2 linked regions of the Lytechinus pictus genome follow. The protein of the gene in region 2 purifies or fractionates together with the protein of the main gene of each other region. This does not show direct contact. Links are inferred from orthologs where the notes say so. Each region holds a gene or a part of one and is shown on either strand. Other genes may lie near its edges. The genes, in order: regulatory-associated protein of mTOR-like and serine/threonine-protein kinase mTOR-like.

Region 1 (7,324 bases), on a different chromosome or scaffold from region 2:
TTCATTTTAAAGATTTACATAAATGTATCAGGGTTTATTAATGGGTAAAGAGGGGGGGGGGCGCAATATAATGACATACCACAAAGATTAATTAGTGATATGGTTTGGTTCAAATGTCACCCCCCCCCACAAACCTTGAGATCAATTTACACTACAGTAAAATTTACCGTAAGCATTATTGCAATCCTCCTCTAGACACATCATGAAAAAACAAACAGTATTGTACAGCCTTTCATTGGTTTAAAATTATTCAAGAAATATTCAATCTTCATTTTGAAAAATAACCATAGTTTGGCTCCCTCTATTTCAAAGATAAGCTGGATTTCAACTAAAGGAAGGGGAGGGGAGATTTTTAAACACTGGTGGAAATGTGGGGGAGAGGGCTCGTTTTTTCTACATTGCAGATGTATTGCACATTCAGTGTAACACTGTAAGGTAGATTGTACTGAACATAATGGGATTTATGGGGGCTCATTTCTTTGCATCTTTGCTCTGAAAACATTTTGAAATTACATTATGGCACATGTGCATGCACGTGAAACAAATTTTCTAAATGACTACAATGGCAACATCGATGACTTGTTTTGAGAACTTTGAACTTATAATTGCTTGCTCCAAATATCAATTTGAATTTCTTATCAACTAAAATTCTAAAGTGTCTTCAAATGATTAAAGTACGGATGATGATTTCTGAGCCCAATAATTATCTCCCATATCTAGTATTTCAAGTTCTGATTTAACACTTTTGTGGACCCCCGCTCAAATATCTTCTCTATCTAACTGCAAGTGCTTTTGTGTGTGTGTTTAAAGTAAATCATCAAAGGGTTCTTTTTGTGGGTAAAACCAGGTCATAAGGACAAAACTTCTTAAAAGTATTGTTTCCTAGATTCATACAGTTCATCTTTGAATACATATTCATTCTGTGAACTATATAAGTTTTTCACACAATTAAACACAGAGTATAATTAATACTTTGGAAGTTCAATTTCATAAAAAATGAAATTCTGAACCCACCTTGACAATTATTACATATGATGAGCAGTAAAAATTACATTATAAAGGGGGGGGGGAATTAACCACATGTTCAGTAGGTCTACAGTGTACATGTACATTTGTAGATTGCTGTACACATACATTTAAATGTACACAACCAAAGGTTACCATCACTAAATGCATCATAAATGGTACCTTCTCAGTCACATACTTCCTACAGGAGTGAATTTTACATTCATATACACAAGGCTCCACACAACTTTTTTTCTTGGTGGCCTGGTGGGTGTTTCATAAGGCTGTTCGTAAGATAAGAACGACTACAAGAAGGACTGGTGATCCTTTCTTTTGGTAAATGGTATACACCATAGGGCATGGTTTAGCGCGAAAGAAAGGATCACCAGTCGTTCTTATCTTACGAACAGCTTTATAAAACGGCCCCCAGGTCAGTCCACCAAAATCATTAATTTCATGCATATTTGGTGGCCCTAAGACAATAGAAAAACACTGGGCCACTGCTAATGTTGAGGCGGGGTTGAGGCCTGGGGCCCATTTCATAAAGCCTGCTGAGGCCTGTTGCCATGGCAGTTGCCATTATGGCAAAGTTACAACAGTTGCAAGTCCTTTATGAAACAGGCCCCTGCTTTATCATCAAAGGCCTTCAATGCCTTGGATCCCCCCCCCCTTTATTGGCCTTGGATGATTTGCATTTTGTAACATAAAAATGTATGATAACCAGATGGAAAAGTCCCAAAAATATCAAAATACATATTAAAAGGCCAGCAAGCTTTTAACTCTTAAACCAAATGATTTGGAAAGTGCAGAGAACTGCAGCCAAGCTGATAAAAAACATGCCAATAGCAGGAAATCCAGATTGTCTCTATGCTGGCAAGTGAATTACCTCCAGAAAATTAGAGGGTCAACCCTTTTCCTCTTTTTGTCAGTCAAAAACAGATCTTTTTCATAATTTATGAAACACTTAACACATCAATCTGAACCAGGCCTGGAAAGCAACGTTTTTATGCATTTTTTCTAGTCATACCTGTGTTTGATTGCCTTAAAAAATCTGTTACTCAAAATTCACTTTTTAATAGTTTTAGAAAATTTCCCCCAACATTAGATACGGTACTATATTAGGCCTAGATCTATCGATCTAGGCATAGACCCCTTGACCTGGAATTTCTGGAAAATTGTCTAAAACGTTTACTGAGGATTGAGATGCATGCTTTTTGTATTTTTTCAATAACTTTATTTCATCAGTACGTAAAAGTCATTATATTTATGATCTGATCATGCTGATTAATTCTGATCAGTCTAATACCCCTAACGTTTGACAGTAAGTAAGTTCAACTTAACGTTAGACCGACTAGATTAATAACTTAGTTATTTTAAAAACTGCATCTGCAATTCTGTTCAGGGGAATTATTTCATCAATACCATAACTGAAATTTGTCACTTTATTCAATATAAATTGGGAATAATACAAAATGTCAGTATTCTCTTATCTTGATTATGATCCCAGAAACAGAGAAATTCACGAAAATCATGATTTGATTTTGATGAAGTGTTTATAATTTTTTTTTTTTATTTAGCTGCCTTCATAAAATAGATAACCATTTCTACTTTATGTCATTGAATTAAAGCAGATATGTGCATCAACACAGGAAATTTAAGTTAGTAGATCTACAGAAAAAGAAAATGGAAATACCCGTTCTTTCATTCGCCATGTTTGTGTTTCTGTTTTGCTTCCTTCAATCGGGTCAGTGTGCCGTTTCTTCATGTATGCAAGCGGTAACTGCCAATCACACAGATCGCTCTCCTCAGATTCAGTGATGTCCTCGTACATTTTCGATGTTTTAGTTGTTCTTGCGAAAGTAGAAGCCTCAAAGAAGATATGAACGTCAAAATGTGATGAAACGTTGTAAATACTTTCTTGTGATCAGACAGAATACGTGGCAAAACTTTAATAAAGTGGTTTTAGAAGGGAGTTTTATGATCTACCGACAACTATTGTGGAGAAACATGTGTCGCCATTTTCTTTCATTCATCCAGCGTGTATTTACGAATGACGTCACGTTTACGCCCGGTCGATATTATGGGAATTACCGTAAAAAATTATAAAAAAGGGGGCGGGGAGGTTAACGTTACTCGTGCACCTGTAAAATAATGAAAAATATTGGTGATGGATTGAGGAAAATTCATTAAAGATTAAGAAAGTTATGAGAATTTTCAGTTTTGGATATGTGACGTCATAAACAGGGGCCGCGGGGGCTTCAGCCCCCCCCCCACTTTTTTCCAAAACCATATACAAAAAAAGTAAAAATTACCATATGATTGTGATTTTTTGCATGGTCAGCCCCCCCCCCCCCCCCACTTTTGGCTCAGCCTCCCACTTTGAAAACCGTTCCGCGGCCCATGATAAACGAGCAGCTGCCCCATATCTTATGTAATATAAAATGCATGAATTTCATTTTTTTCATGGTTCGCACTAGCGTACCTACAGGGGGGGGCAGAGGGGGCAGTCTGCCCCCCCCCTGACGAGCCACAACCCATGCAAAGGACGTATCCCTGCCCCCCCTGACGAGCTTGAAAGACCTTTTTTGCCCCCCCCCCCCCCTGACGAGCTTGAAGACCTTTTTTTTTTTTTTTTTTTTTTTTGCTTGTCAAATTTTTTGGCGGACGGTTTTGCCCCCCCTGTGAAAAATCCTAGGTACGCCACTGATGGTTCGTGATGACTTCTGTTCAGTTCCTTTTAGGAACAGGCGTGAAATGATTTGTCTAGTATACCTGAAGGTGCAGTAAAAAGAACATTTTCAATATTCTAAGAAAATGACATTTCATTGATTTTTTACAATACGATATGTAGGAAAGCTGCTCGCATATGACGTCACATATTAAAATTCTAGTAGATTTTTCTCAGACAAATTAAGATTCTAGTAGATTTTTCTCAGACCTTCAGCAATATTTTCATTTTTTTTTCTTCTATTTTTACAATAAACTTTTTGTCAGGGTGACAGATACGTTTTTATCAATTACAACATACCACGCTTTTCAGCCTTAAAGGAGAATGAAACTCTTGGAGCAAGTTAGCTTTTGTGAAAGCAGAAAAATCAAAGAATAAGATCAACAAAAGTTTGAGTAAAATAGGACTAGCAATAGAAGAGTTATGAGCATTTGAATGTCGAGATCACTAATGCTATGGAGATCCTCCCATTGGCAATGCGACCAAGATCTATGATGTCACAGATGAACAACTCTCCCCTTTTTGGACACTGAAAATATACCCCAAAACATCTCTTTTTGCTCATTCTAATCATTATGACAAACGATTCATCAATGATATAATGTTGTGAAACCTCTGTACTTGTCCTCTCAGAAAGAGAACACCTCACCTTGTGATAGACTCTATAAAAGTGAGAATATAAGTGAAATAAGTACTAAAGTAATGAGGGAGTTGTACGTGTGTGACATCACAGATCTTGGTCGCATTGCCAATTGAAGGATCTACATGGCATTAGTGATCTCAATATTCAAATGCTCATAACTTTCTTATTATTCATTCAATCTTCCTCAAACTTTCAACAATGTTTCTTTAATTTTTCTCTTTGATATGGATTCAGCTGGTTTCAAGGGTTTCATTCTCCTTTAATAAATGACCCTTAATGGGGTTGACCTGTGGCTTTACAATTATATCCAATTACTAGTCTAATTGGCTAAGGCAGGGCAATGAACCCCTTTTTTGCGAGGGTGGGGCCCCCGGGGGGAGGCGGGGATAACTGTCCCCATTTCATCACAAAGAGGCGTGTCAGGATGGCCCAAGGACCATGATTCAAGTTTGATTAGAATTTATAATGGGATGTGCCCTCATTTCTATATTCAATACAATGTGAATATGTACATTATCTCTCTCGATATATTTCCTATTTACCAATTTTCTTTGTCCTGTGTAAAGTACTCTATTGAATGTTTTATTGAATGAATACATGTATTGGTTAATACCTAAATCACTTAATCAGTATGGCATCAGGGATGCATGTATTTATAAAGAGGTGCTGCTCTTTCAATGCACAGGAAAATTCATATGTATAATATATCCTTGAATAATTGTTCTCTAAATTTAGATTATCTTTTTTGTGTGGTCAAATTTGATGTAATTGCTTGATCTAATGCCCACTTAATCCAATTCTCCTTTAATCTAATACCCAGTCTGTCTAATTTCCACTTGTTTTACTTCGTAAAATGAAAATTTAGTTCACAAATACATGTAGTTCATCAATACAGACTAAATGGGAATCAAGGCTATGGAAAACGTCGGTAGTCGTAATTAGACCTGAAAGTTATTAGACAAAATGGGATAAGACCATCTTGGATGATACCTTTTGTGACATCCCCCCCCCCCCCCTCCACACCCACTTCTCATAACCCATTACTGTTAATACCTATTGGCTCTTTTTTTATTTCATAGTGGTACACAAATTCATATTAAACTTAATTAAAAAAAAAAAACTGGATGTATATTGTTTTATTACTGTCAGGTCAAATCTGGCCAAGTCTGAAGGCATGTATTCAGACTTGGCAAGACTGACATTCCACGAGCTAGTGGCAAACTAAATTAAAAGGAAATAATCAGGTTCATTAGTTTATCAAGACAGCCATGCATACTTGGTGCAATACATAACATAAGCCACTTTCGTTCACTTCTGAAAACACTGTACAACACGGCAATGCCCACGTCGTCCTCTTCATTCCTTCTTGATCTTCATCTACCTCAACTCGCATGTATCTCTGATAAACCAGACCTTCAACTTCTGGGGAGCATATCATAAAAGGACTCGGACAATTTATCTGACAAGCCGGGTTATATCCGACAGTTACCACAGTAACAGTGCTTCTCAGCCAATCAAAATCAAGGAAAGTTGTCAGATTTGACCACTTGTCGGGACGAAAATGGTGATGAAATGCTCCCCTGGAGTCTGAACACTGCATAATACTAAAATCACACACCATCTTTTTTTCATTCATTTTCTAATGTGCAGTATCTCAGTCTCACTACCTCAAGTTGCACAAATTTCTGATAACCCCTTCTGCCATTTTCATCAACCAATTCTAAACATCATCCAATTGTTCTTTCACTCACAAGCTTTTTATCCATCTCACTGCCTCAACTAGCATGGTATCTCGGATAACCCCAGTCTGCTTCATTATTTGCATGGAGAGGAATTTAGAAACATTTCCCAACTCCACCTTTACCCAAAAGGGGAAACTGGGATTGGTAAAGAGGGATTTTTCATGGAAACCATTAGGATTAGTGGATCATTAGCATTGCAAAAATACTTGATTCTGACCACCTGGGGACCGTTGCAAAATCCAATAGTAACTCCCCGACATCCTTGATTCTGATTGGCCGATTAGCATTGTTACCATGGCAGTTACCATTAGATGGCAAAGTTACCGTAATAGTAACTTTTATGCAACGGGCCCTGTACAGTGGCGTACCTGGGATTTTTCACAGGGGGGGCAAAAAATTTGACAAGCAAAAAAAAAAAAAAAAAAAAAAAGTCTTCAATCACAAATGAAGGATTTCGTACCAGAAAAAAATTTGACAAGCGAAAAAAAAAAAAAAAAAAAAAAAGGTCTTCAATCACAAATGGAGGATTTCGTAACAAAAAAAAATTGACAAGCAAAAAAAAAAAAAAAAAAAAAAAAAAAAAATGTCTTCAATCACAAATGAAGGATTTCGTACCAGATAAAAATTTGACAAGCAAAAAAAAAAAAAAAAAAAGGTCTTCAAGCTCGTCAGGGGGGCCAATAAAGGTCTTCAAGCTCGTTAGGGGGGCAGGGATACGTCTTTTGCATGGGTTGTGGCTCGTCAGGGGGGGCAGACTGCCCCCTCTGCCCCCCCCGTAGGTACGCTAGTGGCCCTGTATAATGACATCGCTCTATTTGACGAAGTCAGACCGTTATCAATGTAAATAGACTACCAATTATTTATATCTGATATAATGAAGTCGGAATCCCCTATGTTCTGTCTTTCCAACCTCCAAATTGTTTTTGTTATTAAAACTTTCACAATCCTGCTTTTCTTGGTTTTTTTTTTTTTAAAGAACTTTCCTTTCCGGTTGGATTCCACTTCAACTTGAAACAGATTCTGTTAAATCCTAATGGATTTCACCGAAAGATAGCATGAAGCAGACTGGATAAGCACTTACAAAAGGAAATAAACTTCATGTAAAAAATGACACTCGAAATTGGTTATATGCAGGATAAGCAAGATGTTTATTTGCTCTGAATTCCAAAGACGATGTTAGTAAAGCATCTATCTATCACACTGTCC
Region 2 (8,043 bases):
CCTTGCTTTTTTAGGGGGGGGGGTCCTTGCTTTTTTAGGGGGGGGCACCATTTTTTCCGTTGTGTGTTTATGTGTCACAAGGGCGGATCCGACTCTCGCCAATCGGGGACGGGGCCCGAAATTATCTTCACCTATATTTCCCCCGATCAGTCACTTCTTATAAAACAACATAAACATGAAATAATCTCATAAGCCTTATAAAAAAAAAAAAGCGAGCGCTAAGTGCGAGCGATTTTTTTTTTTTTTTACTTTCATGTATTTTGTCCTGAAAATTTAATATTCTGGGCAATGTTATGTGTGATCCTGAACAAGATTCGTATGTAACTAGATGGTAAATGCGAACGCCAAGCGCGAGCAGAAAATTTTATTAACTGTTCTAGCATTATCGAAAAGGGACCTGTTAAGGACTGCTTACAGTTACCCACGAAGACGGTATATATTTCAATAATGCGAGCGCGAAGCGCGAGCAAATTTTTTTGACATTCCGACCTAAAAAAATTGTCATTCTAAGCACTTATTGTATTAATAAATGGGATAGGTATGTAACTAAACAATTGATGCGAGCGCGAAGCGCGAGAGGAAGAAAATTTAGATTTTAGACCTAAAAGCGGGACACTCTATTCATATTTTGTAAATCATAAATAGGATATAGTTAATTGGGTATCATTAATAATGCGATCGTGAAGCGTGAGCAGACAATTATTGATATTCTGATGTGAAACTGGATAATTTTAATATAAAGAACATGCAGGCTATCGCGCATGTTTTTGATTTAGACCTAGAATCTGGGCCGTCTGAATACATTTGTTTATGGAATACACGTAGACAATAGGAACTTGGCAAATCAAACAATTTGACCACACAGCGTGAGCTTAAAAATACTGATATGTAGACTATAAAAGGGACATTTTACAGCTAGAGCACTTAATTTTTTTAATGAAAAAAAATTGATGAAAGCTCGATGTCCGAGCTAAAATATATTTTGTATATTGACTTCAAAACTTGCTCCATATCAGCCTATTGAGCAAGATATGAATCTCATCGAACAGGCAATTCTGGCGCGAAGCGCAAGCAAAAGTTTTATATAATAACATGAAAGATTTTTTTTTTTGCAAGTCTTCCCTTCACATTATTTCATTCACTCGTCTTCCTCCTCTTTTTTTCTTATGTCGTTCTTCTTTTTTTCCTTTTTTCTTTTCTTCTTTCTCCTTTTTTTTTGCCCTGCCAATTTTTTCAGGGGGGGGCACCTGGGGGGGCACACCAAATCTCAGGGGGGGCACGTGCCCCCCCAGGCCCCCCCGTAGCTACGCCACTGTGCATACAGCTGTGCTCTAGATCTAGCACAGCCTATTCAGACTCAGGGAGCTGCGATAAAAAAATGTTGCTGCTGAGAAATCTTCCACAGAACTTTGAAAATCTCAGTCAAAGTCACCTTTTACACCAATGAAATGCAATTCTACAGTCTATATTACGAAAATCTGGCGTACCCTGATTATTTGCAAGTATTAAGAAGAGGAATTATGACCTCTCTTTTGACTCAAAAAGACCGATTTCCACATGAATTAATACACATAAAAACACATAGGCAAGTACATCACAGTCCCACGTGTGCATTTGTATGTATGTTGATACTTGGTTTCTTTCGAAGCTGTGTATTTTCTAGCCTTAAACAAACAGACAGTTTCTTTCTTTCTTGTTATAAATGACTTCTTAAACCACTCTTGAGAAAGTAAATACTTTGGGAAGGCATTTCATTGATATGAAATGTGATTTTTTTTCCTACATTTTGGCAAATATAGGGAAGGACTTTTCTCACACTTTTTTTCCAGATATAGTTTTTGCCGTTTTCTTTTTTTTTTTCCTTTTTTTTTTACAGTGGTTAAACCATTTATACCCCTTCCTATTGAATATGCCTGATTAAAAATTATTTTTCTACTGAAAATAAAATAATACAAACTAAAGGATATAAAAATAGAAATGTGCCATTCCCAAAAGGCAAGTGAAAATTATTTGCTTGGCTTTTAATTATATTCCAGTCAGAATAGACTGTTGCCACAGCTGTTAAAAAATATATGTAATGGCTTCTTAATTTTCCCCTTTTCCCCATTTTTATATTAACTTTGTTTTATTAATTTTTCTTTCATTTTCTTTTCTTTTTTCTATCTGATTTTTTTCTTTTCTTTTTTTCTTTTTTTCCCTGTTCTTTGTTTTTTTCTTTCTTCATTTTCTTTCTTTTGTTTTATTTCACTAATTTCTTTTATCATTTTTGTTTTCTTTTTGTTATATACTTTTTGAAAATTATTTTTGCTTGTTTCCCCCTTTTATGCATTATTCTAATTTTGCAGCATATTTTTCTGTGATTTTCGCCTTCTATAATATGCTGCAAAAGAGAAAACAGAAATAAACTGGATTTGGGGCATGCATAATCTAGGTTTTAGGATTCAAAGAGGAAGGAAGGAAAAACCATTGTTTTGTACATCTATCTGAGTTTGCTATGCACTATTTATTTACTTTACCATTATCTCTATACAGAGAGTTAAAAAAGTCCACACAACCTGCAAACAATACAATTCATTTATTCACTTTCAATCATTTCATTTTTACAACGATAGAAACAATTATCAAAGTAAAATAACAGCAAACAAGGTTTACATACAAGATGTATAAAGTGAAAGTAACTTAGTGGTAGTGGCTGCAGAATTAATATTTCAGAAGTTTGTTTTATTCATTTTTAATGTTTTTCTTTATATTTTTCGGGCCACCAAACTTTAATATCGGGCCACCAAAAAAAATTATTTGATGGTTTTGGTGGCCCGAACGGGCCACCACCAAAAATAGTTAATGTGGAGCCTTGCTGTACACACACCTACAGGACATTTAAATCTATTCGTTCTATGCACTCACCAATTGCTAGAATTCCACCTTTCTTCTCGTTCACGTCCTGACTTGATACCAACTCAAAGATGTGGTGGTTGAGATCGTCCATAAACGAAGTGCGCTCGTCCGCCGAAACTTCCCGCAGCTCGGTGCTCACGTAGTGCTGCAGGTTTTTCGCTGCCCTGGTGCGAACATCGTCGTGTCTGCTCTTCAATCCGCCGACCAAACTATTCATTTGTGACATTTTGACTGATTTGAAAGTACCCAATCCAACTCTGAATATGCTATATCATGTCTGCAACTTTAAAAGATAAGATGACCATGAAAAGAGAAATTCGTAGTCGTAGATTATAATAATTGACGCCTCTTTTCTCTCGGCTCTCTCTCGCCACGGCCTCAGCTCATCATCTCTTCAATAACAGGAAATGCAATTTGACCTGTGACACGCATCACCGATAGAACAAATTTCCCGAAACTGAATCTCAATAGACACTGGAATTTCCTTTTTTTCTTTAATCGGACATGAAAAAAGCGAACCTACACAAGTTTGGTCCAAGTGTAAGTGACCAAAAGTCCAAATCAAGGAATTAAACTTTTTTTTTTTAAATAGCAACAAAATTACAAAATGCGAGCGCGCGGAGCGCGAGCAAAATTTTGAGCTAAAAACGGGACAGTTCTGAAAAGTGAAAAGTCTATCAAAATTTTGTTTGAAATTATGATGTCTATTTTTTATGTTAAATGATGTTCTTAAATCTTATCTTTCAAGTGCCATTAGAAAAACAAGGAAAGGATTCATGTTTTTCAAAGGCACCACAACCTTTCATGTAGCACAAAATGAAATCATTTTAATGAATTGCAAGCTCTCCCATTAACAACGCAAACCCCCTTACCTAGGTTAACGATTTTATGAAGGAATTTTCAGTATTAAAATACATCATATTTTGAAAAAAATAATGATAAATCAAGTAGGCCTAATTCAATAGTTTTGTAAATGAATTTTGACAGAATAATTATGACAAAGACAATTTAAAGGTTAAGATCGAGGAGTCTGCTGATTAGCACGAAGTCTGATGATCGATATTTTCTCATTTTCTGCCATTTTGGCGCAAGTCTTAATTTTTTAACCCCTGACAAAAAACGTTCCATGTTTGCTCAAGCATGAACGAAACTTATTTTTCTGATGGCATTTGAAAGATAAGACTTAAGAGCATATGAACATCAAAATAGAGACATTATGATTTCAAACAAAGTGATGGACTTTTCAAAACTGTCCCGTTTTTATTGATACCCACTGTGGCTTATGAGGCAAACAAAGTTACTACGTTTAATTGTAGTTTAATTGTAATTTTCGGATTACCCGGAATTACCTGGAATTTTTTCATTAATTGAAAATGATCGGGATCGTTATCCGGCCGGAATTGCACAAAAATATGTTTCTATGTAATCTACGCACCAGGGGCGGCAGAACGTATTTTCGTTTAGGGGGCAAAGCAAAAAAAAGGCACTTATTTTGATTTGAATTTATTTTTCTTCTACATAACAATATAATATAACATAAATGTAACAAACATACACTCTAAATTACAGGGATTTAAAATAAGTCTAGATGGATTGTAGTTAGGGACCAATCGATTTCTGGATTTTGTTTTAATCCTAAAGACTTAAATTTAAATCTCAAATGATTTAAATTCAAATTAAATTTAAATCTTTCGAGATTTAAAAAAGGAATCTGAAGGATTCAATTAAATCCGGAATTCGATTGGTCCCTAACTACAGTCCATGTGGACTAATTTTAAATCCCTGTAATTTAGAGTGTACATTGACAATAAATCAGGTATAAATCATTTAGCATAAAATTAATAGCAGAAGATGGATTGCCATAGTAAGCAAAAAAATGCTTGAAAAATATGACAATGAACCGAAACATATTTTAACCATATAATTATATTATGAGCAGAATGGACAATAACAAATTATTAAAGTATCAATTAAGTATAATATAAAAAGAGAAGAACAAAATCTAACAAGCCAAAACTTGCTATAATATATATAATCAAGTAAAAAAAAAAAAATGATAATGATAATGACAAATGAAGAAGATGAAGATGATGATGATGATGATGATAGTGGTGACGGTGGTGGTGGTGGTGGAAATAATGTTAATGATGATGGAAACGGAATATTAGAACATGATTATGACACAAGAAAGTTTATTTTACATATTCCGATAGTAACATGACCTTAACTTTAGCTTTGAATGAGTGTAGGGAGCAAGAGGATTTAATTGAGTCTGGGAGAGGATTCCAAAGGTCAGGACCATGAATCTTTGTCTTACGGATCTCTGGGCAATACGTAGTTTTGGATTGACTAAATGTAAATTAGAGGAATTACGGGTGGGGTAATCATGAATGGTTTTATTCAAAGTATAAAAAAATTTTAATGAATTTGGTAGCATCCCATTGAAATACTTGAAAATGAACAATAAACTTTGTAGTGTATTAATGTCAAATACTGTCAGAGTTTTTAATTGGTAAAATAATGGTTTGGAGTGAGATGAATATTGTGAACCGATACAAATGCGAAGCGCTTTCTTTTGCAATAAGTGAATAGAATTTATTTTTGTTTTGTTTGTTGTGGCCCATACTAAATTGCTATACGTTATATACGGTAAAATCAATGAATTATAAAGCAACGCAAGTGTTTTGCAAGGAATACATTTCTTTAATTTATATAGTATACCAACATTCCTAGAAATAGAAGTTATTATATGGCGTATATGTTCGTTCCAATTTAAATTTTCGTCAATGACGACACCCAAAAACTTCGTTTGATGCTTTCTTTCAAGAGGAACATTATCTATAAATATGTTGTAATGTACGTCATTTATATGAGATTGTATGTGTTTAAAATACATGAAATTAGTTTTGTTGATATTCAGAGACAATTTGTTACATTTAAACCATAAAGATAATTTCAGTAACTCATTATTTAGTGTGTCAACTAGGGTGTTAAGGTTATAATATGAGTAAAATATGTTAGTATCATCTGCAAATAATATAAACGATAGAAGAGAAGTTGTATTAGTTAAGTCATTGATATATAATTAAAAAAAGTAATGGGCCTAATATCGATCCTTGTGGGACACCGCATCGGATTGGTAGAAAAGTTGAAGAAACATCATTAAATACAACATATTGTTTTCTATTGGTTAAATAGCTTTGAAACCAGGAAAGAGCAACACCACGAATTCCATAAGAGTAAAGTTTTTGAAGTAAAATTTGGTGGTCAATCGTATCAAAGGCCTTTGATAGATCCATAAATACCCCTATTACATGTTCTTTATTGGCTATAGAATCTGTTATTTTATCATATAATCTAATCAGTGCAAGGTCAGTTGAATGACTTTTTCTGAAACCATATTGATTTGAATTTAATAAATTATGTGTATCCAAAAACTTGTATAGCCTCTTGTAAATAATCTTTTCAATGATTTTAGATATACTAGGGAGAATCGATTTAGGTCTATAATTACTTATTTCATGAGGGTTGTCTTTCTTAAAAATAGGATTTACTTTAGCAATTTTTAAGCACTCTGGACATTTCCCAGTATTGAGTGAGAGATTAAAAATATGAGTCAGAGGGGGTGCAATAAAATGTATAATTTTTTTATATAGGCCGGCTATGTCAAAATTGGCATTTTTGTGCAACCCGATATTCACCATGAGATCATCATCTGCGTGAAGTAGTTGTGTGTAGTGAAAAGTAAAGTCCACCCCTGGAAAATGTTGATTTGATTAAAGAGAGAAAAATCAAACTAGCAAAACGCTTAAAATTTCATCAAAATCGGATGTATATTAAAGGAGAATGAAATCCTTGAAACCAGCTGAATCCATATCAAAGAGAAAAATCAAAGAAACATATTGTTGAAAGTTTGAGGAAGATTGAATGAATAATAAGAAAGTTATGAGCATTTGAATATTGAGATCACTAATGCCATGTTGATCTTCCCATTGGCAATGCGACCAAGATCTGTGATATGTCACACACGTACAACTCCCTCATTACTTTAGTACTTATTTCACTTATTCTCACTTTTATAGTATATCACAAGGTGAGGTGTTCTCTTTATGAGAGGACAAGTCCGGGGACAAGTACAGAGGTTTCACAACATTATATCATTGATGAATCGTTTGTCATATGATGAGAATGATCGAGCAAAAAGAGATGTTTTGGGGTATATTTTCAGTGTCCAAAAGGGGAGAGTTGTTCATCTGTGACATCATAGATCTTGGTCGCATTGCCAATTGGAGGATCTCCATAGCATTAGTGATCTCGACATTCAAATGCTCATAACTCTTCTATTGCTAGTCCTATTTTACTCAAACTTTTGTTGATCTTATTCTTTGATTTTACTGCTTTCACAAAAGCTAACTTGCTCCAAGAGTTTCATTCTCCTTTAAGAAAGTTATGACATTTTAAAGTTTTGCTTATTTGTCATAAGACAGTGAAATGCACAACTCAAAGAGGCAGACGATGGTGTCCCTCACTCACTATTTCTTTTGGGTTTTTTTTGTTTGAATTATACAATATTTCATTTTGTATAGATTTGACAGTGAGGACCAACTTGACTGAATCATACAATATTTAAAGGTCAAGTCCACCTCAGAAAAATGTTGATTTGAATCAATAGAGAAAAATCAGACAAGCACAATGCTGAAAATTTCATCAAAATCGGATGTAAAATAAGAAAGTTATGACATTTCAAAGTTTCGCTTATTTTTAACAAAATAGTTATATGAACGAGCCAGTTACATCCAAATGAGAGAGTCGATGACGTCACTCACTCACTATTTCTTTTGTTTTTTATTGTTTGAATTATACAATATTTCAATTTTTACGAATTTGATGATTAGGACCTCCTTGCCTGAAGCACATGCAAAATGTTAAAATAATGGAATTCCACGTGTTCAGGGAGGAATGAAACTTCATTTCACATGACAATGACAAGAAAATCAAAATATTTCATATTTCATATAATAAAATACAAAAGAAATAGTGAGTGAGTGATGTCATCGACTCCCCCATTTGGATGTAACTGGCTCGTTCATAAAACTATTTTGTTAAAGATAAGCGAAACTTTGAAATGTCATAACTTTCTTATTTTAC

Evidence for each region.
Region 1: the proteins of serine/threonine-protein kinase mTOR-like (region 2) and regulatory-associated protein of mTOR-like purify together in Drosophila melanogaster (affinity purification with western blotting; 3 studies listed by BioGRID, with this or other methods). This does not show direct contact. The link is inferred for Lytechinus pictus from reciprocal best matches to the Drosophila melanogaster genes mTor and raptor.

What each region holds. Positions count from the first base shown.
Region 1 is NC_087254.1:16,253,968-16,261,291, reverse strand, and holds the start of regulatory-associated protein of mTOR-like, read right to left. Parts: upstream 3,048-7,324; 5' UTR 2,837-3,047; coding exon 2,699-2,836; intron 1-2,698.
Region 2 is NC_087258.1:3,791,950-3,799,992, forward strand, and holds the start of serine/threonine-protein kinase mTOR-like, read right to left. Parts: upstream 3,307-8,043; 5' UTR 3,122-3,306; coding exon 2,905-3,121; intron 1-2,904. UniProt on the Drosophila melanogaster protein: Promotes cell and tissue growth, maintains tissue homeostatis and controls responses to environmental stress and aging. Regulates growth during animal development by coupling growth factor signaling to nutrient availability. Central regulators of autophagy.